Linked DNA regions of Struthio camelus. The protein of the gene in region 1 interacts with the protein of each later gene in a pairwise test. Links are inferred from orthologs where the notes say so. Each region holds a gene or a part of one and is shown in the gene's direction. Other genes may lie near its edges. The genes, in order: GRIPAP1 and RAB4A.

The links.
Region 2: the proteins of GRIPAP1 (region 1) and RAB4A interact in binary tests that used the Homo sapiens proteins (3 or more experiments, as listed by UniProt). The link is inferred for Struthio camelus from reciprocal best matches to the Homo sapiens genes GRIPAP1 and RAB4A.

The regions. Positions count from the first base shown.
Region 1 is NC_090979.1:321,626-336,430, forward strand, and holds the start of GRIPAP1 (GRIP1-associated protein 1), read left to right. Parts: upstream 1-7,862; 5' UTR 7,863-8,098; coding exon 8,099-8,140; intron 8,141-8,246; coding exon 8,247-8,313; intron 8,314-8,615; coding exon 8,616-8,677; intron 8,678-8,761; coding exon 8,762-8,788; intron 8,789-9,363; coding exon 9,364-9,471; intron 9,472-10,067; coding exon 10,068-10,218; intron 10,219-10,669; coding exon 10,670-10,758; intron 10,759-11,747; coding exon 11,748-11,783; intron 11,784-12,144; coding exon 12,145-12,176; intron 12,177-12,281; coding exon 12,282-12,329; intron 12,330-12,439; coding exon 12,440-12,539; intron 12,540-12,938; coding exon 12,939-13,022; intron 13,023-13,957; coding exon 13,958-14,050; intron 14,051-14,486; coding exon 14,487-14,579; intron 14,580-14,659; coding exon 14,660-14,737; intron 14,738-14,805. Other genes in the region: TFE3 (transcription factor E3), read left to right, coding at 991-1,121, 2,554-2,742, 3,209-3,476, 3,826-4,020, 4,172-4,273, 4,588-4,687, 5,225-5,281, 5,552-5,627 and 2 more. UniProt on the Homo sapiens protein: Regulates the endosomal recycling back to the neuronal plasma membrane, possibly by connecting early and late recycling endosomal domains and promoting segregation of recycling endosomes from early endosomal membranes.
Region 2 is NC_090944.1:91,380,734-91,395,208, forward strand, and holds the start of RAB4A (ras-related protein Rab-4A), read left to right. Parts: upstream 1-8,769; 5' UTR 8,770-8,984; coding exon 8,985-9,015; intron 9,016-14,475. UniProt on the Homo sapiens protein: The small GTPases Rab are key regulators of intracellular membrane trafficking, from the formation of transport vesicles to their fusion with membranes.

The DNA.
Region 1 (14,805 bases):
TGTCCCCCCCCCAAAGGGACCCAGGCATCCAGCCCCCCCCATCCATGGGGCAGTGGGGGGGAGTCCTTCCCACAATGCCCTGGGACCCCCCAATATCCCATCATGCCCTGGGCCCCTGCCCCCCCCATCCCTTACCTCAACCCGGGGGGGCTCCGGCCGAGGGGAGGGAGTGCGGCAGCGCACACACGTGTCCAGGAGTCGCACACGCGTGTCTGGGGGGGGTCACACACGCGTGTGGTGGTGGTGCCTGCAGGTCCGGGGGAGGTCAGGGGGCCGGTGCCCCCCCCCGGCCGGTCCCGGGGGGGGGAGGGTGCATGGCCCGGGGCGTGCGACACGCGTGTGCGGGCGGCGGCCGGGCAGGCGGCACGGCGCAGGCGCGCACACGCGTGTGCAGGGCGGTGGCGGGGGGGCACACGCGTGGGGGGGCAGGCGGACGCGGCAGCCTGAGACACCAGGACGGTGGGGGGGAACCCAAGCGTCTGGGAGAGGGGCCCAGGCGTCCGGGTGGGCCCAGGCGTCCGGGGGAAGGGGCCCAGGCGTCTGGCCTCCCCCCACTCAGGGTCCCCCCTGTTGTCCCCCCCCCGTGATGTCACTTCCTGCCCAGCTCCCCCCCCCCCCGCCACTTCCTGCCGCTGGCCTGCTCGGGCCCAGCCCTGGAGGCTCCTGCCCCACGGCAGCTCCCGAGACCCCCTCCGGCCCCATAGCAGCCCCCCAGGGACCCCCGCAGCCCCATAGTGGCCTCCCGGGACCCCTCAGCCCCATAGCAGCCTCCTCCTGCCCCATGGTGGCCCCAGCCCCATAGCAGCCCCCTGGGCCTCCCCACGGCGGTCTCGCTCTCCAGGCTCCCCCCAGCCCCATCGCTGGCCCTGTAGAGGCTGCCCCGGCCCCGCAGCAGCCCTGCCAGCCCCGTAGCCGCCATGCTGGCCCCATAGCAGCCCCCCGCCGCTCCTGTCAGCCCCGCAGCTGCCCGTTGGGCGCGGGGCGGGGGCGATGTCCCGCGGGGCGGCCGAGGGGGCCCCGACGGCGCCCCCCGGCCCCCCAGCGGGGCCGCCCCCCGCCCGCCCCGCTGTCTACCTGCTGCTCGAGGAGCCCAGCGCCCCCGACGGCCTCCGGCTGCTCAGGTGAGCGGGCGGCCGGGGCCCCCGGATCCCCCCGGCACCCCCCCGTCACTGGATCCCCCCAGGTCCCCCTGGATCCCCCCTCCCCATCGCTGGATCCCTCCTGGGACCCCTGACCCCCTCCGGACCCTCCCCTCGGTTACTGGGTCCCTGCAGATCCCCTAGATCCCTCCTGGGATCCCCCCAGCCCCCTTGGGACCCCCTCAGCACCCCCCCAATCACTGGATCCCCCCAGTCCCCCGGCCTCTCCCGTCACTGGATCCCCCCCGGGACCCCCCAGTCACTGAATCCCTTCTGGGACCCCCTGACCCCACCGGGACCCCCTGTCACTGGACCCCTTCAATCCCCCGGGATCCCCTCTCCCCATCACTGGATTCCCCAAGACTCCCCTGTCCCTTGTCACTGGATCCCTCCTGAGACCCCCCCCCCGATCCCCCGAGTACATCTCCCCAGTCGCTGGCTCCCCATGGATCCCCCCAACCCCACCCCACCTGTCAGCAGATCCCCGGGACGCCCCTGTTCACAGGACCCCCCGATCCCCTCCGGGATCCCCTTTTCAGCCACTGGCTCCCCTGGGATCCTTCCACGTCCCTCCGCTCACTGGGCCCTCCGGGTCCCCTCGAGACCTCCTTCCCAGCTACAGGATCCCCCAGGGACCCCTCAAATCCCCCAGCATCCCCCTGAGCTCCCCCCATCACTAGGTCCCCCTGATCCCCTCGGGGATCCCCTGCGACCCCCTTGGGACCCTTTCCTGAGTCACTATATCCCCTGGGACCCCTCCAGCCCCTCTGGGACCGCCCCCAGTCGCAGGATCCCTGGGATCCCCAGCAGTGCTGCAGGGCGGGGGGTTCGGGGGGATCCAGTGATGGGAGAGGTTCAGCAGGATTTGGGGGGGGATCCCTGGGGATCTGAGGGGGGCTGAAGGATGGGGAGGGGCTCAGGGTATCAGGGAACAGAAGGGATAGGGGGATCCAGAGAAGATCTGGGGGGATTGAGTGGCAGGGGAAGGCTTTGGGGGGATCAGGAGGGATCTGGGAGGATCTGGGGTGATTGGGGGGATCCAGAGGGATAAGTGGGGATTGGGGGACCCAGAAGGGATCTGGGGGGACCTAGGGGGTGATTTGGGGGGACTAGGAGGGATCCAGGGGGATCCAGGAGGTATCAGGGAAATCCAAACGGATGTGAGAGGATCCAGGGATTATGGGGGGGGGGGGTCTAGGAGGGAGCAGAGGGATCTGGGAGGGATTGGGGTGGTTGGAGGAGGATCCATGAAGGACCGGGGTGTTTGGGGGGATCTGGGAGGGAGCGGGGAGACCCAGGAGGGACCTGGGAGGGATGGGGGAGCGATGAAGGATCATGGAGGGATTGGGGGGGATCTACGAGGGATCCGGGGGGCACCAGGGGGGCGGCGGCGGCGCTGAGGCGTGCCCCACAGCGTGAGCTCGCCGCTGCCGGAGTCGGGGATCGTGGCCGACATCGAGTGGGAGCGCGGCCCCCCCGGGCCCCCCGGCTCCCCCCCAGCCCTGCCCGGCCCCGCCCCTGGACCTGGACCAGGCCCTGCCCCCGGACCAGGCCCCACCCCTGCTGCCTTCTGCTGCCTCAAGACCCAGCCCCTCCCACACAGGTAACCCCGCCCCCCACCGCGACGGCCATCTTCCCATGCCCCCATGCGCGCTGCCATCTTGCCCCATGTGGTGGCCATCTTTCCACGCCCCCACGCGCGCTGCCATCTTGCCCCATGTGGTGGCCATCTTGCCCACACCCCCACATGTGAGACAGCCATTTTACTCACGCCCCCCACGGACGCTGTGGCCCTCCTACCTCCTTCCTCGGTGGCCGTGTCTGCTCTCAGGCCCCCCACAGCCATTTCCAGCCCCCAGACCCCCATGGCAGCCATTTCCCCCCCCCCCAGACCGCCATGGCAGCCTCTTCCCTCCCACAGACCCCCAAGGTGGCCATTTTCCCTGCTCTGGCCCCCCATGGTGGCCGTTTTCCCTCCCACCATGGCCATCCTGTCTCGCTTGGCAGCCATCTTGCCACACCCGGCAGCCATCTTGCCACACCCAGCAGCCATCTCCCCCCCCCCCCAGAGGCTCTCTACTAACGGCCTCCCCCAGCCCCGGGCCGTCGGGGCCCCCCAGCGACACACCCGGGCCGGGCCCAGAGGCGGCCATGTCGTCGCGGGTGCTGCTGCGGCAGCAGCTGATGCGGGCGCAGGCGGAGGAGCAGGAGCGGCGGGAGCGCCAGGCCGCCCCGGGGCCGCCAGGGCCCCCCGCGCCCCCCACCCCCTCGCCCGCCATCGCTGTCGGCGCCCCCCTGCCCCGGCCTGCCCCCCACGTGCCCCCCGAGGTCCTCAAGGTCAGCTGGCGCCCTGCGGCATGGTGGGGTGGTGGGGGGCTGGGGCATGCTGGGATAGGGGAGGATGGGAGATGCTGGGGTGGGGAGGACTGGGGCATGCTGGGAAAATGGGAGGGCAGGGGATGCTGGGATAGAGGAGGACTGGGATGGCTCCAGTACATGCTGGGAAATTGGAGGTCTGAGGCATGCTGGGAAATGGAGGAGCCTGGTGCATGCTGGGAAGTGGGGAGGGCAGGGGCATGGGGGGAATTCAGGGCCTCAGGGCCCCCCCAGCCACCTGGATTTGGGGGATTGGGGGTCCTGCCCCACCCCACCCCCCAGATCCGGGGGGTGACGCAGCCCCGCGCAGGTGCAGACCCACCTGGAGAACCCAACGCGCTACCACCTGCGGGCAGCCCAGCGGCAGCAAGTGCGCCAGTACCTGAGCTCGGCCCTGGGGCGGGCGGCCGGCGGCCCCCCCAGCCCGCCGGGGCCCCCCGCCGCCCCCGCCGCCCCCCACAGCCCCCTCGCCCTGCTCCACATCGGCTCCGGCTCCGAGAAGGAGGTGGGTGCCCGCCCCGGCGATCCACACGATTTGAGAGCGCTTTGCACGATTTGGGGGAGTTTCATGCGATTTTAGGGAGGAGTAGTCTGACCCCTATCAGGAGGCTCCGCTGGGTTGTGACACCCCCCCGCCTTTCTGCCTCCTGCCCCAGATCGATGACGTCATCGATGAGATCATCAGCCTGGAGTCGAGCTACAACGATGAGCTGCTGAGCTACGGCCCTACCGAGGGCGGCCTGCAGCTGCCCAGCACGGTGCGTGAGGGGGTGGCGCTGCCCCTTTAAGGCCCGTGGGGGCCTGGTCCAGCCAGAGCCACGCCTCTCCTTGCTGGTTGGGGGGGGGGTGTGGCTGCTCCATATAAGGAAAGGAGACCGAAGACGGCTCAGGGGTTAACCCTGTGTCCATATATGGTGGGGGCATGGCCTGGGGAGGGGCAGGGGCGTGGTCTGAGTGGAGGCATGGCCTCAGCCCCATTCCAGCCCCCCCACGGGCCTGTCGGGGGGGGGGGCTAGGGGTGGGTGTGGCCTTGAGGGCAGGGCCCGACTGACCCCACCCCCTCACCCCTCAGCTCCCCGCCCCCGGGCCCCTCCTGGAGGTGTTCAGCCCCCCGGCAGGGGGCAGCAGCTCCTGTCCTGCCGAGCTGCCCCGTGTCAAGGCCGAGCTCTCTGGTAGGGAGGGGCTCCTGTGGGGCAGGATGGGGGCTAGGAGGGTCCCTGGGGGTCGCTATGGGGGAGGACAGGGGCTGGGGAAGGCCCCTATGGGATAGGGTGCCATCTAGGGGGGGGTCCCTTTGGGGCAGGATGATGTCTAGAGGTTTTCTATGGGGCAAGATGGGGTCTGAGGGTGTTCCTATGGGGCAGGATGAGGGCTGTGGGGGTTCTTGGGGGGCCCTATGGGGCAGGATGGGGTCTCTATGGGGCAGGAGGAGTCTAGTGGGGGTCTAGGGGGTGTTGCTCAGGGATAGGAGGGGTCTGGAGGAGGTTCTTCTGGGGCAGAGGTGGGTCTAAGAGGACTCCTATGGGGCAGGAAGGCAGCTGGGGGGGTCCTTGGGGGTCTGGGGGTTCTCTGTGGTGCAGGAGAAATCTAGGTGGGTCATTGGGGTCTTGAGGGGTGCCTATGGGGTAGGAGGGGCTCTGGGGTCCCTGGGGGAGTCCCCGTGGGGCAGGTCTGGCTGTGGAGGGCTGATGACGGTTTCTGCCCCCCAGAGACGGAGGCAAAGGCGCTGCTAAAGGAGCGACAGAAGAAGGACAACCACAACCTGAGTGAGAGCTGTGGGGCAGACTGTGGGGCTGGGGGTGTGTGGGGCAGAGCCATGGGGCTGGGGGGGAACATGGAGTGGGGCCATGGGGCTGGGTGGAGGCTTGGGGAGGAACCGTGGGGCTGGGGTGAGCTGGGGGGCAGATTTATGGGCTGGGGGATGTTTGGGGCATAGTCACGGGGCTAGGGGGGGCTATGTGGCAGGAGCCATGGGGCAGGGCTCGCCGTGGGTCGGGGCTCACTGTGGGGCTGACGTTTCCTTCCTCCCTCCCCAGTCGAGCGACGCCGCCGTTTCAACATCAACGACCGGATCAAGGAGCTGGGGACCCTCATCCCCAAATCCAACGACCCGTGAGTGCGGGGCCCAGGCATCCAGGCGGGACAATAGAGAGAGCCCAGGTGTCTGGGTGGGCACCTGAGGGACCCAGGCATCCGGGTGGGACACCAGAGGGACCAAGGTGTCTAGACGGGCACCGGAGGGACCCAGGCGTCCGGGTGCCCCCACAGGGAGATGCGCTGGAACAAGGGCACCATCCTCAAGGCCTCGGTCGACTACATCCGCAAGTTGCAGAAGGAGACGCAGCGCTCACGTGAGCTCGAGCTGCACCAGCAGCGCCTCGAGCAGGCCAACCGCAGCCTCCAGCTTCGCGTCCAGGTCTGGGGGGCCCTGGGGAGGCACCTGGGGGAGGCTCTGGGGCTGGGGAACACCTGGAGAGGGGTCTATGGGGCTGGAGGGCACCTGGGTGGGGTTATGGGGCATTTAAGTAGCTGCTATGAGGCTGGAGAAGCACCTGGGAGGGGTCTATGGGGCACTTAGGAGGTGTGCAGGGCATCTGAGAGGGGTCATGGGGCTGGAGCACACCTGAGAGAGGGCTATGGGGCATTTGGGGGTGTCTAGGGGGCTGGAGGGTCATCTGGGAGGGGTCTGTGGGGCACCTGGGGGGATCTGTGGGGCTGGGGTCACCTAGGAGGGTCTATGGTGCTGACCTACCTCCTGTGTCCCCCCCCAGGAGCTGGAGCTGCAGGCGCAGATGCACGGGCTCCCCCTGAGCCCCCCGGCGCCGGTGGCTGAGGGGGGCCGTGAGGAGGCCCCTGGGGGCCCCCCCTTTGCCCCGGCCGCCCCCCAGTGCCTGCTGGACCTGGCCCTGGCCGAGGAGCTGCCGCCGGGGCTGGGGCTGCCCCTGGGCCTGGGGGGGGCAGGAGGGGGCCTCGACGACATCCTCATGGACGACCCCGGCGAGCTCTCGCCCCTCGGGCCCCCCGGCGCCCTCCTGGCCTCCCCTGGGCCCTCCCGCGCTTCCAGCCCCCACAGCAGCCTCAGCATGGAGGACGAGGCCTGAGCCCAGTGCCGGGCAGGGCCCTTCGAGGGGGGTCCCCACCCGTTGCTTTTAAGGTGTCCCATGGCCCCTTTAAAAGCCGGCCCCGCCCCAGAGTGAAGCCCCGCCCACTCTCTCCGGGCACGCCCTGCCCCGCCCCTCAGGGAAGCCCTGGTCCCACTCCTCCAGGGAGGCCCCACCCACAAGCCCACAAACAGAAAGAAGCCCTGCCCACGAGGAGGCCCTGCCCCGGCTGGCCCCGCCCCCGCCGCCCCCCTCCAATGAGTGGGCTCCTGGGGGCTGGGCCCTCAGGCATGATGCCCCGCCCCTGCCCATCACCCAGCTAGCCCCCGCCCCTTAGAGGACTGGCCCTGCCCATTTATGGTGCCATCTGGCTGCATCACCCCACCCCCCCGTGTAGCCACGCCCCAGTGCTTGGCCACGCCCACCCGCCTCGTGTAGCCTCGCCCCCAGTTAAAGGGGCCGCGCCGCTCCCCTCCAGGGGGGGTGGGACTGGATCCAACCCCCCCAGCGCCCTGACCTCCCCTCCCCCCGGCCCCGATTTTGTACAAAAAAACGGAGAAAACTGTCGCTTGGGAGCGCCATGAAATTAAACATTTGGTAACGAGGCCCCGCCTCTGCCTCTAGCGAGGGGGGAGGGGAATGAGCGGCCTCGGGGCCCCCCTCCACCGGGGGCCTTATAGGCCTGGGGGGACCCTATGAGCCCTATAGGACTAGGGAGGTCTTCTTGGCTCCTGCAGCACCAGGGGGAACCCTATAGGCCCTATAGGTTTGGGGAGGGGGGTTTGCTCTGGGCCCTATAGCACTGGAAGAGTCTCTGCTAGACCTGCAGGACTGCAAGGATCCCTATAGGGCCTATAGCACCAGGGAGGCCTCTATGGGCCCTATAGATTGGGGAGGTCACTATGGGCTCTACAGTATCAGGAGAGACTCTATGGGTCTATAGCACCAGGGGGAACCCTATGGGCCCTATAGCACCGGGGGGGGGGGGCCCTCTGTGGGTCTTCTAGCACCATGGGGGACTCTACGGGCCCTATAGGTCTAGGAGAATCCCTATGGACTCTATAGCAATGGCTAGACCCTATAGGTGCAGGGGAGATCCCTATGGGCCCTATAGCACCAGGGAGGTCCCTTTGGGCCCTGTAGCATCAGGGGGTCCCTATTGGAGCCTTTAGCACAGGCAGCCATCTCTATGGTTCACTAGCGCCCCGGGGCCTTTCTCTCCGGCCGGGTGGACTCCATCTCCTTGGCCGCAACTTCCGGGCGGGGGCCGAGTGCGTTTCTTCTCACCGCCCCCTCCGCTCCTCTATGCTCCCGCCGCGCCAGAGCGTCCGCTTCCGGGCCGCCGCTCCCTCCGCCGGGCCGCCAGCGCGCCGGGCCGCAGCCCCGCTGCCCCCGGCTGTGTCTCTATGACCCGCCCTTAACGGCGCCCCCCCCAATCACCGGGCCGGTTTTCGCCCCTCCGACAGGGCCGGCGGTGCCAAGATGGCGCAGGCCCTGTCGGAGGAGGAGTTCCAGCGCATGCAGGTGGGCGTGGGGGGGCCCGGACGCCTGGGTCCCCTGGCGGGAGGGGGGCCCGGATGCCTGGGCTCCCTCCGCTGACCCCCCCCCCGCCCCCCCCCCCCCCCCCCAGGGGCAGTTGCTGGAGCTGCGGGCGGAGAATTACCGGCTCTCGGACGAGCTGCGCAAGAACAGCGCCGGTGGGCCCGGCCGCCGGGACCCCGGGGGGGAGGGGGGACGCCTGGGCCCCTTTTGGTGGGGTGGGAGGGGATGCTCAGACTTCTGGGCCCCCTAGAAAGGGGGCAGGGGGCATACTCGGACGCCTGGGTTGCTTTTGGAGGGGGTGGGAGGGGATGCTCGGATGCCTGGGTGTCTTTTGGGGAGGCAGAAAGGGATGCCTGGGTCCCCTGGGAAGGGGGATACTGGGATGCCTGGGCCTCTTTTGGGGGGGGTTGGGAAGGGGTGCCCGGATGCCTGGGCCCCTGACCCCCCGCCCCCCCAGAGCTGACGGGGCTGCGGCAGCGGGTGCAGGCGCTCGACAAGGACCTGGCCAAGGCCCACAAGGTGAGGCCCCTTCCTCTGTGACCTCTGACTCTGACCCTATCTGACCTCTGACCCTGGCTGACCCCTGACCCTTGTGTCTCACAGGCCCTCAGTAAGAGCAAGAAGGCCCAGGTAGGGTTGGGGGTGGGGCCAGGGCCCGAGGATGCTGGGGAGGGGGTCTCTGTGGGTGTGAGGGTGCTAGGAGGGGTCCCTGGAATCCTGGGGTGCTAGGGGGATCCCCCTGGGTGTTGGGAGGGTCCCTGTGGGGTTTGGGGGGTCCTTGGGGTTCCCATGGGTGCTGAGGGGGTCCTATGGGGTGCTAGGGGGAGTCCTGTGTGTGCTGGGGGGGTCCCTGTGGGGTTTGGGGGGGTCCTATGGGGTGCTAGGGGGAGCCCTGTGGGGTTTGGGTGGTCCTTGGGGTCCCCATGGGTGCTGAGGGGGTCCTATGGGGTGCTAAGGGGAGCCCTGTGTGTGCTGGGGGGGGTCCCTGTGAGGTTTGGGGGGTACTTGGGGTCCCTATGGGTGCTGAGGGGGGCCCTGGGAGGGTCTCGGAGGCCATGAGCACTGGGAGGGTCCGGGGGCTCCCTGCGGGTGCTAGCGGGTCCCCGCAGGCGCCAGGCAGATCTGGGGTCTCCGGGGTGTCAGTGGGTGCCGGGGGGATGTAGGGGGGCTCTGGCGGGGGCACCCACGGGCTGGGGGGCCGGCAGGAGGTGGAGGCGCTGCTGGGCGAGACGCGGATGCTGCAGGGCAAGTTGCAGAGCCAGGAGGATGACTTCCGCCTGCAGAACAGCACCCTGCTGCGTGAGCTGGCCAAGGTGCCCCCCAGCGCGGCCCCCAGCATCCCCACGGGGGCCCTGATGCCACCCCAGGGTGCCCCACCACACGGGTTCGGCAAGGGTGGGTGGCCCTTTGGGTGCCATCCATGTTGTTCTGTGGCTCCCCAATGCCACCCCAGGGTCCCTAGTGCAACCTGGGGGTCCCAAATCCCCTCTTAGGTGTCTTTGGGGGTCTCCAAGGCCACCCTGTGGTCCCTAGTGCCATCCTGGGGGGATCCCAGTGTTACCTGGGGGTCCCAAATCCCCTCTTAGGGGTCTCTGGGATTCCCCAATGCTTCCTGGGGAGTCTCTGGGGTCCCTAATGCCTCCTGGACGGTCCCTAATGCTATTTGGGGGTCCCTTGCACTCACTTGAGGGTCCCTGAGGGTCCCCAGTGCCACCCTGAGGGTGGCCAAGGCCCACAAGACCTTTTTGTCATTTTGGAGTCCCCAGTACCCACTTGGGGGTCTCTGGGGGACCCTAATGCCCCCTGGGGGAGTCCCTCATGGCAATTGGGGGTCCCCAGCACCTCTTGGGGGGTTCCTGAGGGTCCCCGCTGCCCCCCGGAGGATCTCTGACGCAGGGGCGGTCCGCAGCTCTGCGCCCAGATCGAGGGGCTGGAGGAGGAAAACCGGCGCCTGCGGGATGGGGAGTCCCCAGTGCCCCCTGGCGCCCCCCCGCCACCTGCTGAGGCCCCCCAAGATGGGGCTGGTGGCGATGGTGGGGCCCCCCCAGCGGCACCCAATGGTGAGAGGGTGCTCAGGGGTCCCTGGGGGGGGTCCCTTGGGGTTTGGGAGAACCTGGGGGGATTTGGGGGGTCCAGGAGGGGTTTGGGGTGGTCCCTGGGGGGGGTCCAGGGGGGATTTGGGGATCCTCAGGGGGTCCTGGGGGGTTCTGTGGGGATTTGGGGGGTCCTGGAAGGCTTTAGGGGGTTCCTGGGGGGGTCCAGGAGGGGTTGGGGGTCTCAGGGAGGCCCTGGGGAGGTTGGAGGGTTTGGGGTTCCCAGGGAGGCCTTGGGGGGGTTGGAGTGTCCCTAGGGGGATTTGGAGGGTCCTGGAGGAGTTTAGAGGGGTCCGGGGGGGATTTGGGGTCCCGGGGGGCCCTGGGGGAGTTTGGGGGGGTCCCTGGGCACCAGGGTGCCCCAAAGGCTATAGGTGCCGGCAGGGGGGGCTGTGGGGTGACCCCCAACACCCTGCAGCCCCCCAGGAGCCCCCTGAGGAGCCAGCAGCCGAGGAGGGGGGCCAGGGGGATGCCCCCCCTGCGGAGCCCCCGCTGCCTGCCCTGCAGGTACCTATGGGTCCTATAGGGGATAGAGACTTGCTATGGGGGGGCAATAAGAGGGTATGGAGCAGTTGGGAGGGTCTGGGGGAGGCTGTAGAAAACATAGATGAAGATGCATTAAATAGATGGGAAAATCTGAGGGAATTATAGTAGATAGGAATAATCCACGTAAGAATATGATTGCAGACTATTTAGATTAGTACAGAACCTAGAGAAAAAAACTTAGGTTTAACAAAGCTGCAAAAAAGTACTATGCAATCATATAGGAAATATAAGAAGAATGTGGGAGCATATAGGGAAATCAAGTGAAACACTGGAAGGTTTAGAGCAACATAGGGGATTAGAGTAAAAATATAGTAGCATATACCAGGATTGGATGAAATACGGGGCGATTTAGAGGGATGTTGGAGCACATAGAGTGCTTGGGAAGAATTGGGGTAATACAGAAAAATCAAAGAAGCATATGGGGAGAGAAGTATATGGGGAACATATAGTAAGCTAGGGTGGAAATGGGGAAAATGCAAGAAAATGGAAGAGTTTTAGGAGAATACAGACAATTCAAGATTCTTGTTTTCGTACAAGAAAAACATGGAGCTATTCATGGAAAATCAATTATAATATGGGTGTTTGAAAATAAGTATTGGAAATATAGAGCAAATATAGAATGAATATAGGGGATTTGGGAACAAAAATGAGATGATATGGGGAACTGGGGTGCAAATGGGGTATTTAGGGGCTTTGGAGACACAGGGATAGAGTTTGAGAGAAACGTGGATGATTAAGTGTGTTGGGGGGAAAATAGTATAGGGGATTTGGGGGAATGTAGGGGATTTTGGGGGGATTATAGGAGGTATGGGGAGAATCAATGACATTTGGGAGGGATATGGGAATTTTAGGGAGCGATTAGGGGACTATGAAGGATTGTGGTGGGAAGAAAGGGGAAATGGGGCCATATGGGGGGGTACAAGGGTCTCATGGGGGGGCTCTCACCCCAGGTGGAGGTGGCCCAGCTGCAGGCAGAGGTGGCCAAGGTAAGGGGGGATTTTGAGGGTCCCAGGGGATTTGGGGAGGGTTCAGGGAGTTTGGGGGCGTCCTGGGGGTCTCAAAGGCATTTTGGGGGGTTCCAGGGGAATTTAGGATGGCTGGGGGGGTCCTGAGGGGGTCCCAGAGGGTTTGGAGGGCTCCTGAGGGATCTTGGAGGGATTTTGGGGGGGTCCTAGGGGGATTTGGGAGGTCTGGGGGGTCCTGGGGGGATTTTGAAGGGTCCTAGGGGGATTGGGGGGGGTTCTGGGAGGTCCCAGGGGTTTGGGGGCATCCTGGGAGGGTCTCATATTTGGGGGGGAATTTGGGGGTGTCATGCTCCCCCACCAGCAGCGATTTCTCTCCCCACAGCTCACAGAGAAGCTGAGGAAGAAGCAGGAGAGGTGAGAGCACCTGGATGCCTGGGCCCCTTCCAAGGGGGGGCACCTGGACACCAGGATCCTTTCGGAAACGGGGTAAACTTTTTTTTTTTTTTTTGTCTCTTTCAGTTTCCTGCAGTTGCAGGCTGAGAAGGACGCCCTGTACAACGACAGTAGGTGGGCGGCCCCGGACGCCTGGGTCCCTGGAGGGGTGGGGGGGTGGGGGCGAGGGCAGGTGCCCAGATGCCTGGGCCCCCCGCCGGACGCCTGGGTCCCTGTGGTGGCAGGACAGAGGCGGAGGAGCTGCAGGCCCGGCAGGACGAGGAGCTGCAGGAGCTGCGGGGCCAGAACCAGCGGCTGCGGCAGGAGCTTGAGGCCGTGGCCCAGGTGGGGCTGGGGGGCACATGGAGGGCACCCCATGGTGTTGGAGGGGTCCTGGGGGCACCCTGGGGTGGCTGGGGAGTCCTAGGGGGCACTCTATGGCATTGGGGGGGTTCTGGGGCATTCTGGGGTGTCTGGGGGGCACCCCATGGTGCTGAGGGGGCCTGGGGGCACCCTGGGGTGGCTGGGGGGTCCTGGGGGCACCCTATGGCATTGGGGGGCTCTTAGGGGATGCCCTGTGGTGGCTTGGGGGCACTGCATGGTGCTGGGAGGGGGTCCTGGGGGGTACCCTGGGGTGGTTGGGGGCACCCTACGGTGTCTGTGGGGCACCCCACAGCATTGAGGGGGCCCCGGGGGCGGGTTGTGGGGCCCCGGTGTCCGGGTGGTGACGCAGCCCTGGCACAGGAGGCCTCGCGTGGTGCCGAGCGGGCGGAGGCAGCAGCGGCGGAGACAGAGGCGCTGCGTGCCAGCACCACCGCCCTCGAGCAGGTGCGACCCCTCTATGCCCCACCGGCCCCTATAGAGCCCTGCAGACGCAATCCTAGCACCCCCATACAGTGCTGTACAGCCCTGCCTGAGCGGACTGGGCTATGACGTCCTTTACAGCTGCATGATGCATCAGGTGGCCTGGTATAGCTCTATACATTCATATACAGCTCTATATGGGCTAGGTCAGGTTTATGATGCACCAGGCAGCCCTGTATGGCCTCATGCGTCCCTAAACAGCCCTGTGATGCCCTGGGGGGACTGGTATGGCCCCATACAGCACTGTGATATATTGGGTAGCTATACCACTCCGTATAGCACTCTGTGATGTTGGGCAGCTTTATATGTCTTTATAAGGTGCTGAGCAGTTCCTTATGGCCCCATATGGTCCTGGGACATGGGGGGAGCCCCACACAACCTCGTGACATGATGGGGAGTCACATATAGTCCTATAATGATCTTAAGGTATGCTGGGGAAACCCGTTCAATCATGTACGCTCCTGTATGGGTCTGTGATATGCTGAGCAAGCCTATAGAGCCCCATACAGTCCTGTGGCTTACTAGGCATGCCCATTTATTGTCCTATATGATCCTATAGAGGCTTATACAGTCTTATATAGCAGTGTGACACACTGGGCAGCCCCATATAGCCTTGTATATCCCCATATAGGCATGTGTAGCCGCATACAGCTCTGTACAGTGCCTTATGTTCCCGTGACACACTGGGAAGCCTTGCACAGCCCTATACGGCCTTGTATAGCCCTATATAGCCCTATATGGCCCTATACAATCCTATGTGGCCCCATATGCCCTCATGACATGCTAAGCTGCCCCGTGCAGCTCTATACGGCCCTATATGGCCCTGTGATGCAGCAGGAAGCCCCAGGTGGCCCCCTGCAGTGCTCGTGGGCCCCGTATAGCGGTCTATACATGGGCAGGCGGCAGCGGGGCTGCGGGAGCAGAGCGGGGCGCTGGCCCGGGAGCTGCAGGAGGCCCAGGGTGCCCGCGAGGCCCTCGAGGCCCAGCTGCAGGTGAGGGCTCCCCTGCCGGGGGTCCCCCAGGAGGGATTTGGGGTCACTGGGGAGCCCCTGGGGGCCCCTGCAGGGTCTTAGTGTTCCTGGGGAGACCCTGGGGGGGATTTGGGGTCTCTGGAGAGGAATTGGAGTTCCTAGGTTCCGCTAACCCTGTCCCTGGGGGTCCTTGGGGGGGGGGATGTCCCTGGGGGTCCCTGGGGGGGTGTTTGTGGGTCTCTGGGGCAGTTATGGGGTCCGTGTGAGGTTTGGGGGGAGTCCCTGGGGGATTTTGGGCTCCATGGGGGTGTTGGGGGGGGTCCCTGGGGGGGTTTTGGGGTCCATCAGGTGGGTTTGGGGTTCCTGGGTGGGACAGGGGGGTGCCAGGGTGCCCCAGGGGTGCCCTGGCATGCGCTTGGCGTGTGCTTCACGTGTGCGAGCGCGGGGTGGCACGCAGGCGCGGGGCCGGGAGCTGGCGGAGCTGCAGCGGCGGCTGGAGGAGGCGGAGGGCAGCCGGGAGGCCTGCGAGCGGGGCCTGTGCGAGGCCCGGGTGAGTCCCCCTGTCCCCCCCGACCCACGTGCCACATGCACATGTGGCACACGCATGTGACATGCCTGTGCCCGTGGCAGGAGCTACTGGAGACAGGGCGGCAGGAGCATGAGGCAGCTGCCCGGGCGCTGCAGGAGCAGCACGAGGCCGAACTCGAGGTGAGGCTGTGCCAGGGGGCAGGGGGACATGCTATGGGACGGAGGAACGCGCTGTGGGGCAGGAGGGT
Region 2 (14,475 bases), on another chromosome or scaffold:
TGGTGTATCAGAAACGCAGCTAGCAAAGGCAAGAGGAGTTCATCGGCCCTTGTTTAACGCAAGGATAATCCAGTGCTATCTTTGTTAATGACTCCAAAAGAGAAAGTTTTGGTCTCAGTTACGCACTGAAGAACATGATGTAGACTGTCTTTTTGAATGTATGCAGCAGACACCAACTAGAAGAAAGCAATCCAAAATAACCTTGCACGACCCCTCCCCAAACAAAGGCATGAAAACAGTCCTTTCCTGTCTTAATCAGTGTGAATCTCATTGATGTACAACGTGCTTAAACACTGCTGTAAACGATGTGTTACAAAATACAGAGTTAGGCACGCTGGATCGATCACAGGTTCAGCACAACTAACTCTTGTTACTGCTTCGGGAAGTAAATCCACTAGATTTATACTTTTAAAGGATTTCCGTTAAATCTGAGGCTGTTGACACTGGCTTTATATTTAAGGACTTCATGCAGACCTAAATCTGATTTCTGGAGTTTAGAGAGTGATTGCATGTCTCAGCTGCAGTAAAACTTAATCCTGAGTCAAAAGTTTGAGCACAGTCAGTGATCTGCAGAGTACGGGCAACGCCCCTTCAGCTAAGCAGTGTCACAAAATTACCCTGCCCCTTCTCCCAGTACAGAAGTTGCCTTACACTGTTTCTGCTACATTGTGTTGTTTTAATTGATGTTGTTCATCTAGACAATGCTGAAATCAACACGCGTTTCATGGCTTAATGGACAAAAGCCTGCAAATATGTATTTGCATACCTTTAAATGAGGATGATCGGCGTTGTTCCCGTAAAGAAACAATTGCATTTGATATTCTTATCTTTGACTAGGATTTTGCTCAGTTCCTTTTTTTTCCCACTTCACTTTCCACCACATGAAATCTCTTCTGTTCCTTTGTTCCACACAGAAGAGCATCCAATATTTTCATGCAATGCTTTATCCACTCTGCAAGGAAAGTGCTCAATTTATGCTTTGTGCTCAGCAGGATTTTTTCCTTTTTTTAAACCCATTTTCTTCTTATTGCCACTGACTGACATTGGCATGACCTTACATGGAACAGCCCGAGAGCTTTGCTGGCATACGCTTCCCATTCCTTAAAAGGAGAAGAGGTATAAAAGCTTCCAAGCTGCCTACCGCAAGTCAACCTGTGTATCTGGCAAACAGCCTCGGAGCTCTCGTTCCTCCTTTGCTGAAGCCGAGGCCAACAAGTGTGGTCAAGAGTAAAAAAACATTGTTCGAATACATATGTGCTAGCTACATGAGGAGGCCACCCTGCCGCTAGGAGGTCACTTGCTGGGTTACAGAGGTCAGATAGCAAACACCATGCCTGGCACAGCACCAGCGCCTCTGACAAGGACCTGGCCAGCCTGGGCACAGTGCCATCCAAACAGATGGCGCGTGTGCAAGCATTCAAACAGATTAAGGCAGGGTACCTGTTTTGGGATGCCCTAATGGCATCTGCTCTGCATTTTTGTGCCCATGGCTGAAGGGAGGGAGGCACTGCCCCCAGTCCCAGCCAGAGCGCAGCTGGAGAAAAGCAAAGAGCCGAGTTCTGCCCTGGAGGCCCCTCGTTTGTACCTGTTTGGAGGATATTCACAGTGCCAGAGTGTTCGAAAGGCACCTTAATACATGAGAATCAGACTAAAGCAAGGGCTTTTGACTAGAAGGAGCATTCGGCTCTCTCAGGCTGAACCTTTCCCGATCCGTGCGACAGCGCTGAAGCTAGGTTTTACCGTCGGAGAGGATGACAGCACCCATTCCTCCTCCACACCATGTTCCCAGGAGCAGATGCAGCGAATGGCAGACAGGGCGGTGCCCAGCATGGGACAAGGGCTCCAGTGCTGCCCTGCGAATCTGTGAGAAAGTGCCCTTAGCGGAGAGCAGGGGGAACTGGGGCAAGCTGGGTGAGACTCCTGCTTCGTGCGTGAGATTGGGCAGGTCTGCGAGCTGCCTCGGCCAGTGCGGTGCTGCCCAGTGTACCTGCGCTAACGCCTGAGAGAGGGAATTTGCCCTTCTGGAGGACTTGGGTAGCAGGAGGCACTGTGAAGAGCCTGTGCCTCTGCTGCGTCCAGCTGTAGGCATCACTGTAAGCACAACACAGCTAAAAGGCTAAAAGGAACAAAAAAACATTCAGCTGGCTTTAAAAGAGAAACGAGCGAGGAAGTCTTCTGTCAAAATCCAAAGTGCCATAACACCTACTGCAAAATATATCTGTCTCTTTCACCTTCAACCTTTCCTCTAAACAGCCAACTAGTAGTAACAGCTCTGTGTGGGTTTTGTTGACAGCAGCAGCTAGGAAACTAGATAAGATCATCAAACACATTTTATTTAAGCCATCGATAACAATATTCAGCCAACAATAACCTAGGCTGGATTCAAAGCCATGCCCATTCATTCAATCAGCATGTCAATTTGATGACGTAGAGCTTTCTTGCTTGTCAGTAATTAAAAAGAAGAAGAAAGGAAGCTTCTTTGTAGACCGTAAGTATTTTCAAATTCTTTTTTCCCCCAGGAAATCCTATGGAAAAAATAGCTACAAGGTGAAATTAGCTACAAGTTTATCTACAAGTGAAGGTGAAACAGGCAGAAACATATCAATGAAAAATCATGTATATGATCAGAGTCAGAACTGCATTTTGGAAACTGTAAGTGATTTAGTTTCTACAGAGATAGTGATACACTTAAGATCAGATATTCTTCCTTTAGACACTCTTGCACAATTTCTGATGAAGTGAAAGGACTGTGTTCATGTGTGTATTTGTGGGTGAAAATAAAATATGATGTGATCCTTCAGATTGTTATAGTCTCACATTTATTACCATAGCCATGTTTTACTTTACGCTCATTTTCAAAAATCCATATATGTAGTTTCATAACCTAACAGCAAAATAACAGCAAAAAGTACCAGATTTTAAATCTACATATCAATATTGGTCCACGTATGTGCTTTACTAGCTGGCTGAGCCTGCCCATGAATTGCGGAGAATGTCTAGCACTCCTCTTTGCAGCACCAGGAAGCTTGCATTCCTGATCCACATGGATCGCTTAGTCAGCCACCAGCAAACTGCAAGGCAAATTCTTTGCACTGTATACCAAAAATACTGTGTATAAAAAAAGCCATTTTAGACCTCTGATGCTCTGAATTTTCTGTATGTTTAAAAAAAAATAGAATCTGATTCCTTAACAGCTAATCAGTTCCTAAGAGATTTTTGTTTGTGAAATGTATACGATATACAAAGTACAGTGCCTCTCCTCCATCTGAGCAAGCAGGGACTGGAGAAAAGGATGAAGCCAGTTCCTCCTGGGGCGGCATTAGACACCTAATGTTTAGATACCTAATGTTAGGTATCTAAAAATTAGCTTTCTAAGCCTAAACTGGGCTCCCTCTGTAGTCAATGGACAGAAGGAGATCCATTCTGTCCTCAGACAGCTGATGAAGACGGTTGGGCTGAAGCACTCTGGAGCTGCCTCTCGTTCACTACTGATTACAGAGGGTGCCCAGACAACTGGCGTGTGTCTAGGCTACATCTGAATGAGGGACACGGGAGTACTTCCATGAGCCAGAGTCCAAGCGCATGGCTGCCTGCAACCCATACCACAGTAAAGTGCAGGCACTGTGGTACGTTTTGGACAGGTCCTTGATTCAGCTGGTTGGACCTTGGGTGCATGAGAGCATGCATCCACCTCGGTTCATCTGTAACATGCGACACGGCAAGCTGAATTCCTCCTTGAGCATGCAGCTCACAGACGGCTAACCCAGACAGACGTGCCAACTTTCTGAACCATCCAGGTGAACCGCACAAGTGGCAAATCACACCCCTGCCAAAAGCCAGCTTTGATTGCTTCCTGGTGCCACAGCCAAAGCAACCAAAACTGCAGAACTGAATCAAGACTGCTCTATTGCATCTTTGAGGATATTCACTTGAGAAACAGGATCTAAATGAGCCACGTTTTTATTGTATGTGAGTTCTCCTGAGCAGAGAGAAGTGCTGTGGGCTCCAGAGGGGAGCCCGTGTGGCCTCGAGTGTTCCTGAGCAATCTATTAACCAATCTTCTATTTCAAGTAAGTGATGTTAAAAACATCAAACACTTCAACCCTTTCCTATTGTTAAAAGTGAACAAATGCAGCCTGTTACATCCCATTATCACTGTATTATTCACCAGCAGAGCAGTTAATCAGTGACACCATGAGGCTGAATTAACAAAATACAGGTCAGTTTCACATAAATCTGTATGTTTTCCAGACATTGTATGTGTATAATACATTTTATAATATGTCCAAAATTTGTCTTCATTTTCCTGTGCCTCTCTTGAAATACAGAAAAAAGCATTTAGGCCCCTTCACTGTATTTACAGTGTTCCTGCAAAATTAAATCACTAGTTATTTTGAAAGCTATGCCCTATATTTTGATTTCCTTTTAAATATTTTTTCTATACTAGGCATTTCTCTTTTTAAAATAGGGCTTCTCTGTACCGTTGTGCTCATACAAGTGTGCTAAAAACTATTTCCCTGGACAAAGCACCTAAAAATTTTACGTAGTGTTTTGAAGACAAAAAAAGGACCCAACCCCACATTAGGGCAAATTTGCATTTTTGCATTCTAGCATAAGGTTATCCGAAAAGGAGCTTATCCCAGGATCTGGTGACTCTTCATGAATACTAAGTTCCCTTAGCTTACACAGCACTCCTGCAGTCACTCCAGTGTCTTCTTCCTACCACTGGTGACAAGCGTGATAAAAGGGAAAATACACCCAGCATACAGCATGCTGCACTCTAGCAGTCACCGCTGTCACTGTCGTAGCATAGCTTGTAGGCTTCCTATTTATTCTGGGAAAAGTTCACCACGGGGTAAGACAAAGGAGTTCAATGATAGCACCAAGCTACCTTTGCAGTCACCTTCTTCACGAGCTCCAGTTAGTCATGGCTAACTACTGAGGAACTAGCCCACGATTTTAGAAGCGCTCAACCCATAATTTTCCACGAGCAACCGCAATTACATCAATTGACAACTATGCTCATAGGCTGAGGGCAGCTTCTGTGGGAGCCGAAGATGACAGAGTTCAGATAATGCCAGGTGTTTTCAGGTGAAGTCAGCTCTCCAGTGGCATTGACTATAAGCAGGTCACCCGAATCCCTAAGGCTTCTCAGAGCATCAATCACCTATCTTCATATTTCATTTGGGCTGTCGGAGCCAAATTCATTGCTGCTCCAAATCCATCTTAGACCTACAGCTTCCACATACACTTGCTTGCTCTCTGCATTCAGCCCACAAGACAAGAAGGTGAGGCAAAACACGTTATTCCCCATTTTATCTGAGTCTCTCAGGCAGTCCATGTGCCACACAGCCTAAGAGAATTACTAGAGAAAACACACGTGCACCCCCTCAGCCTAAAGTAGTGCCTTTCACATATGGCCTTGTAGTGCCACCTTCAGACTAACCCAGGATATGTCCTATCACTCCCTTAACTAATAGTCCCTCCCACCTTTTAACTGCACTCCAACCCCAGCCAGAAGCTCTGAGTCCACAGTGCAGGTGGACACAAAACACTACCGAACTTCAGATCCAGTTTGAATATGGTTTGTCTATAATAGGGTGAAGGAAAACAGAAAGATCTGGCCAATTGCAATGCTAAGTCGTTGAAAGCTGTGTCCAAATTTGCCAAGTCCTAAAATTGGAATTATTTTAGTTTGGAAGAAAGAGCTTTCACAAAATATTCTGGCCTGAGTCTGCCTCTGTGGAGATCTTGATGGCCCTTTTCCACTCATGAGATATCAGACACTATATTTCTGATACACTGCCTAGTAAAACTTAGTTAAAAATTAGCTCAGCATCATTTTTAGCAAAACCTCAACATGACCTTCTGGGCTGCAATTTTACAACCGCAGTCAACTATAGGCACAATAATTGTGGTGAAACTAATTTGGGGAAGAAACGATAGGATTTAGATTTCACAGTTTGACATGTTATATCTCATTTTACAGGAGCCAGGAGTGTCTAGAGGACGTAACCAATAGAAAGCATAAATCAGAAGACAAGTTAAACATTTGGTTTTTGGTCTTCTTCACCCTCATACGCAAGATGATCATTCTCAGCTCTATCTATTTTGTTTTGATCACTCAGAAAGAATGGTTTTTATTAACAAACAGTAGCCTGTAGTCTCAAATTGCAGAGATCTCAGCTATGTAGTTCCTAACCTAGTGCAATCTTTTTCATTATTTCTGAAATTTTCTCTCGGTTCTCGTTTCCTCTTTAAAGTAGAAATATCGAAACAGCCAATCCTATCCGTCTCTCCTTTTTTTTCCTGTCTTTGCTTCACCAGAAATTTCTCCAGCGTCCCTCTTTCTCTTCATTATTACTAACAGCTCTCATAGAAAGCATTATTTTTAAAAAACATATTATTGGCATGTACATATCAACTAACTGGGAGTGCCTGGAGGCAAAAAAGTATGATATTAGTATCATGACTTATCTATCAAATATAACCTCCATACAGGCAAACTCATCTTGCAAGATACACAGTAAAAAAAAAAGATCAGACAGGATTAACTTGTTTTTTTAGCCTAAAGTACTGCTTATACAGTACAAGATGTTTAAATTTCCATTCCTTTTTTGAAACAACTTAACAAATTTTTAATAACCTAGTAAAATCTGTCTTCTTCTGTGCTAAACAATCTTAAAATTGGAATTTAAAATTTAATTTTTTTAGAGAAAAAATAGCCCACATCTATCAGGGATTCAGTGATATTAGACCAAACTTCTTTATGGCCTAACCTCACCCTCAAAAGTATCATCATTTGGGGGAGATAGCTTTCAAAGCTCTGGTCTGTGACACTGGGATACAGCTCCTGTGAAAGCTCCCCTAGCTTCTTCTATTGCTCTGGAGAACGGATGCCCTGGGGCAAATGCTCACATGTGACATTTTGGGCCTCTATATGTAGTGTCTTCTGGCTGTGACAGCTTTGGGAACCTGTGTATATAACTAATTACTGTTAATATTACGAATTTATTATGCAGTTGGCTCTTTGAAAATTGCTGGAACAAGTTTCTTTGTCAATGTCTATCCATGGCATTAAAATAATCAGCAGATTCTCTGAGAGGTTTTTAATGTTGGCCCACCATGTATTGTTTCACTGATTAGAGATAGAAACTTAAAAGCTGACCTTCGACCAGTAGCAGACTCAGTAAGGAAACGGCTGGGAAGGGCAGCGGCAGTTTTTCCTACTGTTTGGGAGATGATAGAGAAATGGAAAGAATGGCAAGTTGTGAGCAATAAGATTAAAAGGCCAGAAATAACAGGGGAATTTTTAAAAGGGGTGGTAGAAATAAGAGCGTGAAGGGACACACGGGAAGCGTTGTCGTGGGAGAGAAGAGTTGGAGGGGCTCTCGTAGTGGAGGATCAGTCTTAGTGCCTCTAGCTGCCACACTAACCAGGATCACCGGAGACAAACCAGGCTGGGAGTTAGTAAGACATCAAAGAAAGAATAACATAAATCAAGTGCTATTGCACTCAGGAAGTTTATTCATTTCAACAGTCTGAATTTTCTTGGGGTTTATCTTGGAGGTCGGAAAAGCACTGGTGCAGTCAGCTCTCCGAAAAACAAAACCCTGTCTGTTAGCTTATACATATCACCACGTACCTCAAAAGGATATACGGCAAAAGGCTTAGCCCTTGACTGAAATGGGGGGAAAGTTTTTTGGGGAAGGATCTTAACGAGTCTAGAACAGATGCTTTAGGACAAAAAGTTGGACAGTGGAATACAGTTTTCAGGAAGGACCATCACAGGCAGGTTCTGTACCTGGGGAAAAGCGTTTGCAGACTTGCTGGCAGGAAAATTAACTGGAATCGGCTGAGATCCCAGCAGCTCAAAAAACACCAGAATTCAGGGACTATGCCCTCTGACAGCCGTCTGACAAGTCGCCAAACAGGAGCACTCAGCTCCCAGGAGGAATGGCCTCAGAGGCTACTATTTTCCAGAAAGAACTGAAGGGAATTTTTTAATCATCAGTTCAACTTCCAGCACAGACATCAGAATGGAATGGGATATCTTTAAATAATGGAGTTTTCTCTGGACAAGGAAAACGTTAAGATTATTCAAGCCTTAGAAATCAACATGACCTCAGCGCATGCAGAACTGAGGCGTCTGTTATCTTGGCAGAGTTGCAGCTAGCCCCACCATCGCCCACACTTTGTGGGTACAGCTGTCTCGTATACCCGGGACTTCCAGGACAGCTACAGCTACTACGCACTGGGCTACCGCACAGCAGAGCGGCGGTGAGGCCGTGTTTCCTAAATGTCTGTGGCCTATCGGGCGCACACCCTGCGACCACGGAGGAAACGGAGCACGTTTCGGGGAACCTGCGACCAGCCTGCCACCCACAAGTTGTACGCCCGACTTGTGTTAGCTCTGGCAGCCCCCAGGGCTTCCTGATGCAGCCCCAGATGGAGTACCAGAACAGCCCTCTGAGACTGGGGAAAACAGAGAGCAGGGCTAGGACGAAGAGCTCCCAGGGAGCAGACAGAGACGAGCCCACACTCGTGCGACATGGCGGCCACCACCGGGGTAGAGCAGCCAGTCACGTGGGCCGCCCTCGCGCCCCGCCCCCCAACGGCTGCGCGGCGCCGCAGCCCCGCACGTGCGCCTTGTTTTGGTGACGGCCGTTGGAAGGGGAACGGCGGGGAGGCGGGGCTGCGGGGCATGAGCCCGGCGCGCCTGCGCAGCGAGGCGGCGCTCTTCCCCCCCCCCCCGCCCCACACCTCGGCCGCCGCCGCGAGGGGCGGAGGCCGAGGCGGCTCGGACGCGCATGCGCGGTGGTGGCCGTTGCTGCCGTTGGCGGCTGGGCTGAAGCGGCGCAGTTGGTGGTGGCGGCGGTGGTTGCTGCTGTTGCGTGGACCTGTCCGTCTCCCCCCCGGCCTGCCCCCTCGGTTCTGAGGGGCCGCAAGCCTCTGCCGGGGAGGGGAGACTCGCAGCTCCCAAAATGTCGCAGACGGCCATGTCCGAGACCTACGGTAGGAGCCGGGGCCCGGGCGGGGCAGGCGCTTGCGCCCCCGGGGAGGGGTCGCTGTGAGCGGGAGACCCCCGGCCCGGCGGTGCGGCTCTTCCCCAGCGGGGGCCGGGGCCGGGCCGGCCCAGCCCAGCGCGCGGGCGCTGGCTAGGGAGCGAGGCTCGCCTCCGCCGAGGCTTTGAGCCGGGGCCGGCTCTGAACCGCGGTGTTTATTCCCGAGCCCTAGCGGGTGAACGAAGTGTCAGTGTGGTAAAGGTTGTAGCAAAGTGTCCCCCGCCTCTGGCGTTGTGCTGTTGACTGTGCCGAGTTAATCACCATCTGGAGTAGGAAGCTATGGCCCTTGCTGAAGAAAGCAGAGAAGAGGTGGTAGATCAGGGACTGATCCAGTGTGGCATGAGTTTTGAAGTTCTAGGCTATGGTAGCTGTTTGGCCTTATGCTTCAGACAGGCTTCTTGCCTTCTGGTTTGTTTGTTTTTCTTTTTTTCCTACTCTTTATTAGCAATGTTCACTACAGCCTATTACTCCTCCCTCTGTTGTCCAGCTCACACTGATGTGATAGTGCCTATTCAAAATTATTTTTCAATGTTGAGAAGTATTGATGACTCAAAAGGTAAGTAAAATACTAGCCAGAAAATTTAGGCACTACTTCTTTGTTATCTTTAAGTTAATTCAGAAGGAAAATTGCAGTGCATGCCCTCTAGGACGAAGCTGCTTTTATTGTAAAATTGGGGACAGTGTTCTTTTGAGGGTCAAATTAGGATTGTAGTCTTATTTTCCTAGATACACAAACATTAAAAAGAAGAAACTGTGAGGGTGAGTAAGTAAAAAAAGAACTAAAAAGTTTGTTCATCTCTGTATTAGCATGGACATCTGACTACTATGTGGTGTTTCCTATGAGCATTATAGCAGAAAAACATCTGAAGGCGTAAGTCGTAAGAGTGCAAGCTCTGGTGGGGTGAGTCAGTGCATTAAAGGCACATCAATGTGTGGAGTCCAATAGGTAGGTAGAGCTGATACTGCTGGCTGGGTGGAGCATATGGGAAGTGACTGGATAATATTCATTTCTCGTGTTTGTAACTTTGAGTTCTTGAATCAACCTCGTATGTTTTTTCTCTTTCCATAACATAGTTCTGTATCCTGTAATGCTTTTATTTACTGTATAAAAATCCTGTCATACCTCTAAATATTATTTTTAGAGTCCCTGTGTTGGATTGCTGGAGGATGAGATTGGAATTGGATATACTGTGATGAGCCCTTTAATTTCTCGTTTTCTGGCTTTGTCTGTTGCAGACTGTTATCCTCAGTAATTGGTTGAGCTTGGGATCTGCACTTGTGTCTCTCTGTCTTTAGAGCAGAATCCTGATAAATAATATATAGTTTGGATAATTATAGTGAAATTAGATGCGGCAAGTCGACTCACTGCTAAAGCTTGTTGATCTGAGGGAGACTGGCATCACTGTCAGTTCTTATTAGTAGGCTAGCTGATCTTATTGTTACTGTTGTATAAGTCTCTGTATATTTTCAGTAGCCTGGTCAGGAGTGCTTAGGGTACTTTGTCCCACTATGATGAGTGTTTCAGTATACGGGAAAAAGCACAGAACTACTGGGGAAAATGAGGCAAAAGTGCGGGGCAGCCCTTTAAGTGCAAATGTTAGGATAGCAAGACCCTGTTTCTTCTTTTGGTGTTTTCTCCAAACAAGCAAAACGCATGCGTAGAAATCAGGCCAAAGAGATGTGCTTTGTTGATTTAGATGTGAGTTTGAGCTAATTCTTCATGCTCTGAGCTGTTGCAGTTAAGGATCGAGATCGCTTTGGCTATGTTTATGGTGGGATTTGTAGTCTTTAAGCAGATGGATGGGTAGACAACCAGCGATGATAGAGATAATTCCAGCAGTATTCCTTCTTAACCTGCTTGCTATTACAGCATCAAGATAAATAATTGCATCTTAAACAAGTACATTTCAGCACTTTTTGCATTGTTCCAGTGAGTCAAAATAGTTTTAAACCCACTAGCATTGCTGATACTCTCTGATTGTTTTGATGTCCTAAAAACACACCCTTGAAATTGAAGAGTTTGGGTTATTGTGGTGTTCTAAAGAGGTGGTGGGGTTTTCGGTATATTTCTCTTTTGAATGTCAGTGATTGTTCTGTTTATATACATCAAGCTACAGGAATTCCGAGCTGGAAAACTGAAGATAATGGCATGATTTAGGATAAATGGAAGAACAAAAAATGTAAGCTATGAGATGACGTAGAATTTAACAATAGCTGTACTATCTGCAACCAAGGCAGTAACCAGTATGCAATTTTACAATGTCCTGTTGGTGCTTTGGAAAGACCATAAGAACAGGAAAAGTATATTTGATGCTTTCTCTAATATTCTTCAGCCTCCAGCTATTTTCACCTTAGTAGCTTTGAGTCAGGCATGGTGTCTGTTTAAAAAAACCCTCTATGGCTTTTTTCTTCCATGTATTTGTCTAATCTTTCCTTGAACTCAAATAAACTTCTTGCAGTCACTGCATCTGTTGGCAGGGAGCTACCCACATAAACTACCCATTCAGTGAAGAGCTATCTCCTCTTGTTTTTTGAGTTGTATTTGATGACTCTTAGATCTTCTAATGGAACAAGAGTGTGAGATTTATCTCTGTCTTCCCACTTTGTGCCATTCAGGATTTCATAGATCTAAATGGTATTCCATATATTTCCCTCCCCCGCCCCCACCCCAGACTAAATAACTTGTTTAGTCATTCCCTCTCTCGAAGCTGTTCCATATCAGTGATCATCTTTTTTGCCCTTTTCTGAAGCTTTTCCAGTTCTGTGGGGGGGGGGGGGGGGGGGGGGAAGGTGTTTGTTTTTGTTTCCTTTCCTTTCCAGATCTGGGTGAAGGGGAAGGTAAGAACTGAATCTTGCATCCTACCTCTTGACTGGGTGCTTTACATCTGTCTCTTTATGATATCTGGACTTAGATAAGCACTGAATTTCCTGGGATCTGGAAAATTTGCTACTAGCATAGTTAAACTAATTGAGTTGGATTTCTTCCATCTGGACAAAAGCCTGCTGATGAGTGGTGTAATAGAAATATACAAAATCCTGGGATGCGTGTAGAGAATGGGTGGGAACTTACTATTCACTCTTTTCTTTCTCGTGGAAGTAAGGAGCATCATATGAAGCTAGTAGCTAGGTTTAAAACAACAGGAGATGGTTCTTTAGGCAACTAACAGTAAGTATATGGAACTTGGTGCTGAAAGATGTGTATGTTAAAAATCCAGCAGGCTGGGTGATTTCATGGAAGAAAAGAAAAATCATTGAAGGCCGCTAAATAGACCCTGCCTTAGGCTCAGGAGGTCTCCTGAGTTGACTGTATTTAAGGACTGAGAGGGAAATAGGGACAATATCATGACATACTCACCTATTCCTGTATCATTCACGAAGCATTTACTTATGGGCACTGTTCCTGTTGGGTTCCCATTAAGGACAAGCTCCCCTCTGGGTGAGCTACATATCAATTCTCATAGCCTCCCTGAAGCACAGAGGTAGCAAACAAACCAAGGGGAAGAAAGTGTATTTGGGGGACAGTGACTGTAATAGGGTAAGAGTCAGAGAGTCAAAACTGAGCAGAGGGACTTTCAAGAAGAACACCAGTCATTGCCTGCAGCTCCCTGTATCCAAGATGATAGTGGCTTTTACCCAGTGGTCTTGCTTAGAACTGTGAAAAGTCAAAGGAACAAAAACAGGCCCCACAGTTGCTGGGATCTGTCCTACAAAGCTTCTTCCTCTTGGTGCTCTGGATGGTTGGCTAGGTCCGGGCCAGATGAAGGCTGACAAAAAAGTTCTGCAACTCAGTGGTGCTTCAGAAGACTGAATAAAAATGCAAGCCAGGTGGAAAGCAGCAAGAGTCTCAAGAAATTTTGGAGGAGGAACTGCAGCCCAGCGCAGCTGATCAGTTTTGCAGAAGATGGACCCTTGATCTGATACAATAAAGCCAGTCTTATGAGCTTGAACCCCCTTGAACAAAGGAGATAATAGAACCTGTGTTTTTGTAACTTGTGTGTACTTTGGCCTCTTCATTTTGGGCTAAAAAATGTAAGTCTGCAGCAGCGCCACTCTGTAATTTTAAAATAGACTTTTCTGTGTTTCATGTTAATCAGTAAATCTTTTTTAGAGTATGCTTATTGACCAAACCCGTCCATGGAAGTAGGCAGGAGAATGCTGCTTTCTGGATCCTGTTCAGGGTTAAGCCATGTGCCAAGCTCTCTGAGGCACTTCAGGGTGTCATTAGAGAAAGAGCATTAGCATTCTCCTTGAATCTAATGTAAAAAATTTAGCTGCCTAGGCAGCTGGAACAACTTTGCTGAACAGTTTTTGGTGTTTAGGTATCATGTGCAGCTGTAGTTTTTAATACTAAGTTGATTTGGTAGACAGTTGTAGTACAGAGAGCTAATCAACTCGGTTTCTTCTTTTTTAAATAGAAAAAAAGAAATCCCACCCTCATGGATTTGTTGAATCATATCCACGGATATTTTAGAAGCAGCATGATCTAATGGGCTGAAGATCAAAGCAGGAATCAAAATTTTGTGTGTTACAGTTCCAGCTGTGTCCCTGATTTGCTCTTGCACAGAGATATATCGAAGTGCCTGTTCTGCGTTCTGATAAAAGCAATGTTGAAGGCTTAAAGTTAGTGCGATTTGTGCCCTCTTTCTCCACCCTGTATTGGTTCTGCACTATAGGTCTGAGCATAGGCTGGTTTTACCAAGTTTTCAAACAGTATTGCAGCCCCGCTGTTGAAAGCTTTAGCAAAGTTAATGAATGTAGTTAAATCCAGCCTAGAAAACGAAGATGAACCCAGCATGCGTGGGACAAACATTGTAAGTCTTGTCTTCTGATGTAATTTTTATGGTGTATAAGGGCTAGATCTAAATGCAAGGCTGCACTGGTTTAAACCCCATAGAGATGAATCCGTAACAGACTTGTCTCATGCTGGATGGGTTTTTATGACAAGGTGTGTCCACATGCAGGGCACTGATGCATATATTACTGTATGTCGGTTGTTCCCTAATAGCTTTATATCTGGACGCCTGTATCCTGAGAAGACTGCAGAGTAATTCAATGAGAGAAGGATAAATGACCTCAACGTTTGCTGCACAAGCACAATTATATCAGTGTACCTGATGCAGAGGAACTTACTTGGGTGTCAGAGCCCACACTGCTTGGGCTAAGCTGCATATGCATCTTTCTTAAACGTCTGCAATTTATGCAGCTGTGCCGCAGGGAGTTTGAGACTGCAACTTGAGGCAAAGTTAATGGGAAAGTATAATCAGATAGAAGTTTGCAGTCCGCTGGGAGCTAGCAGCCTACAGCTTTTAGTAACTTCTCTGCCTGCCTACCGCCATCTCAGATAATATAGCTGACAATGTGAATGCAAAATAAAACAGGTTTGCTTGAAACAAAACAAGTGCTTTATAGT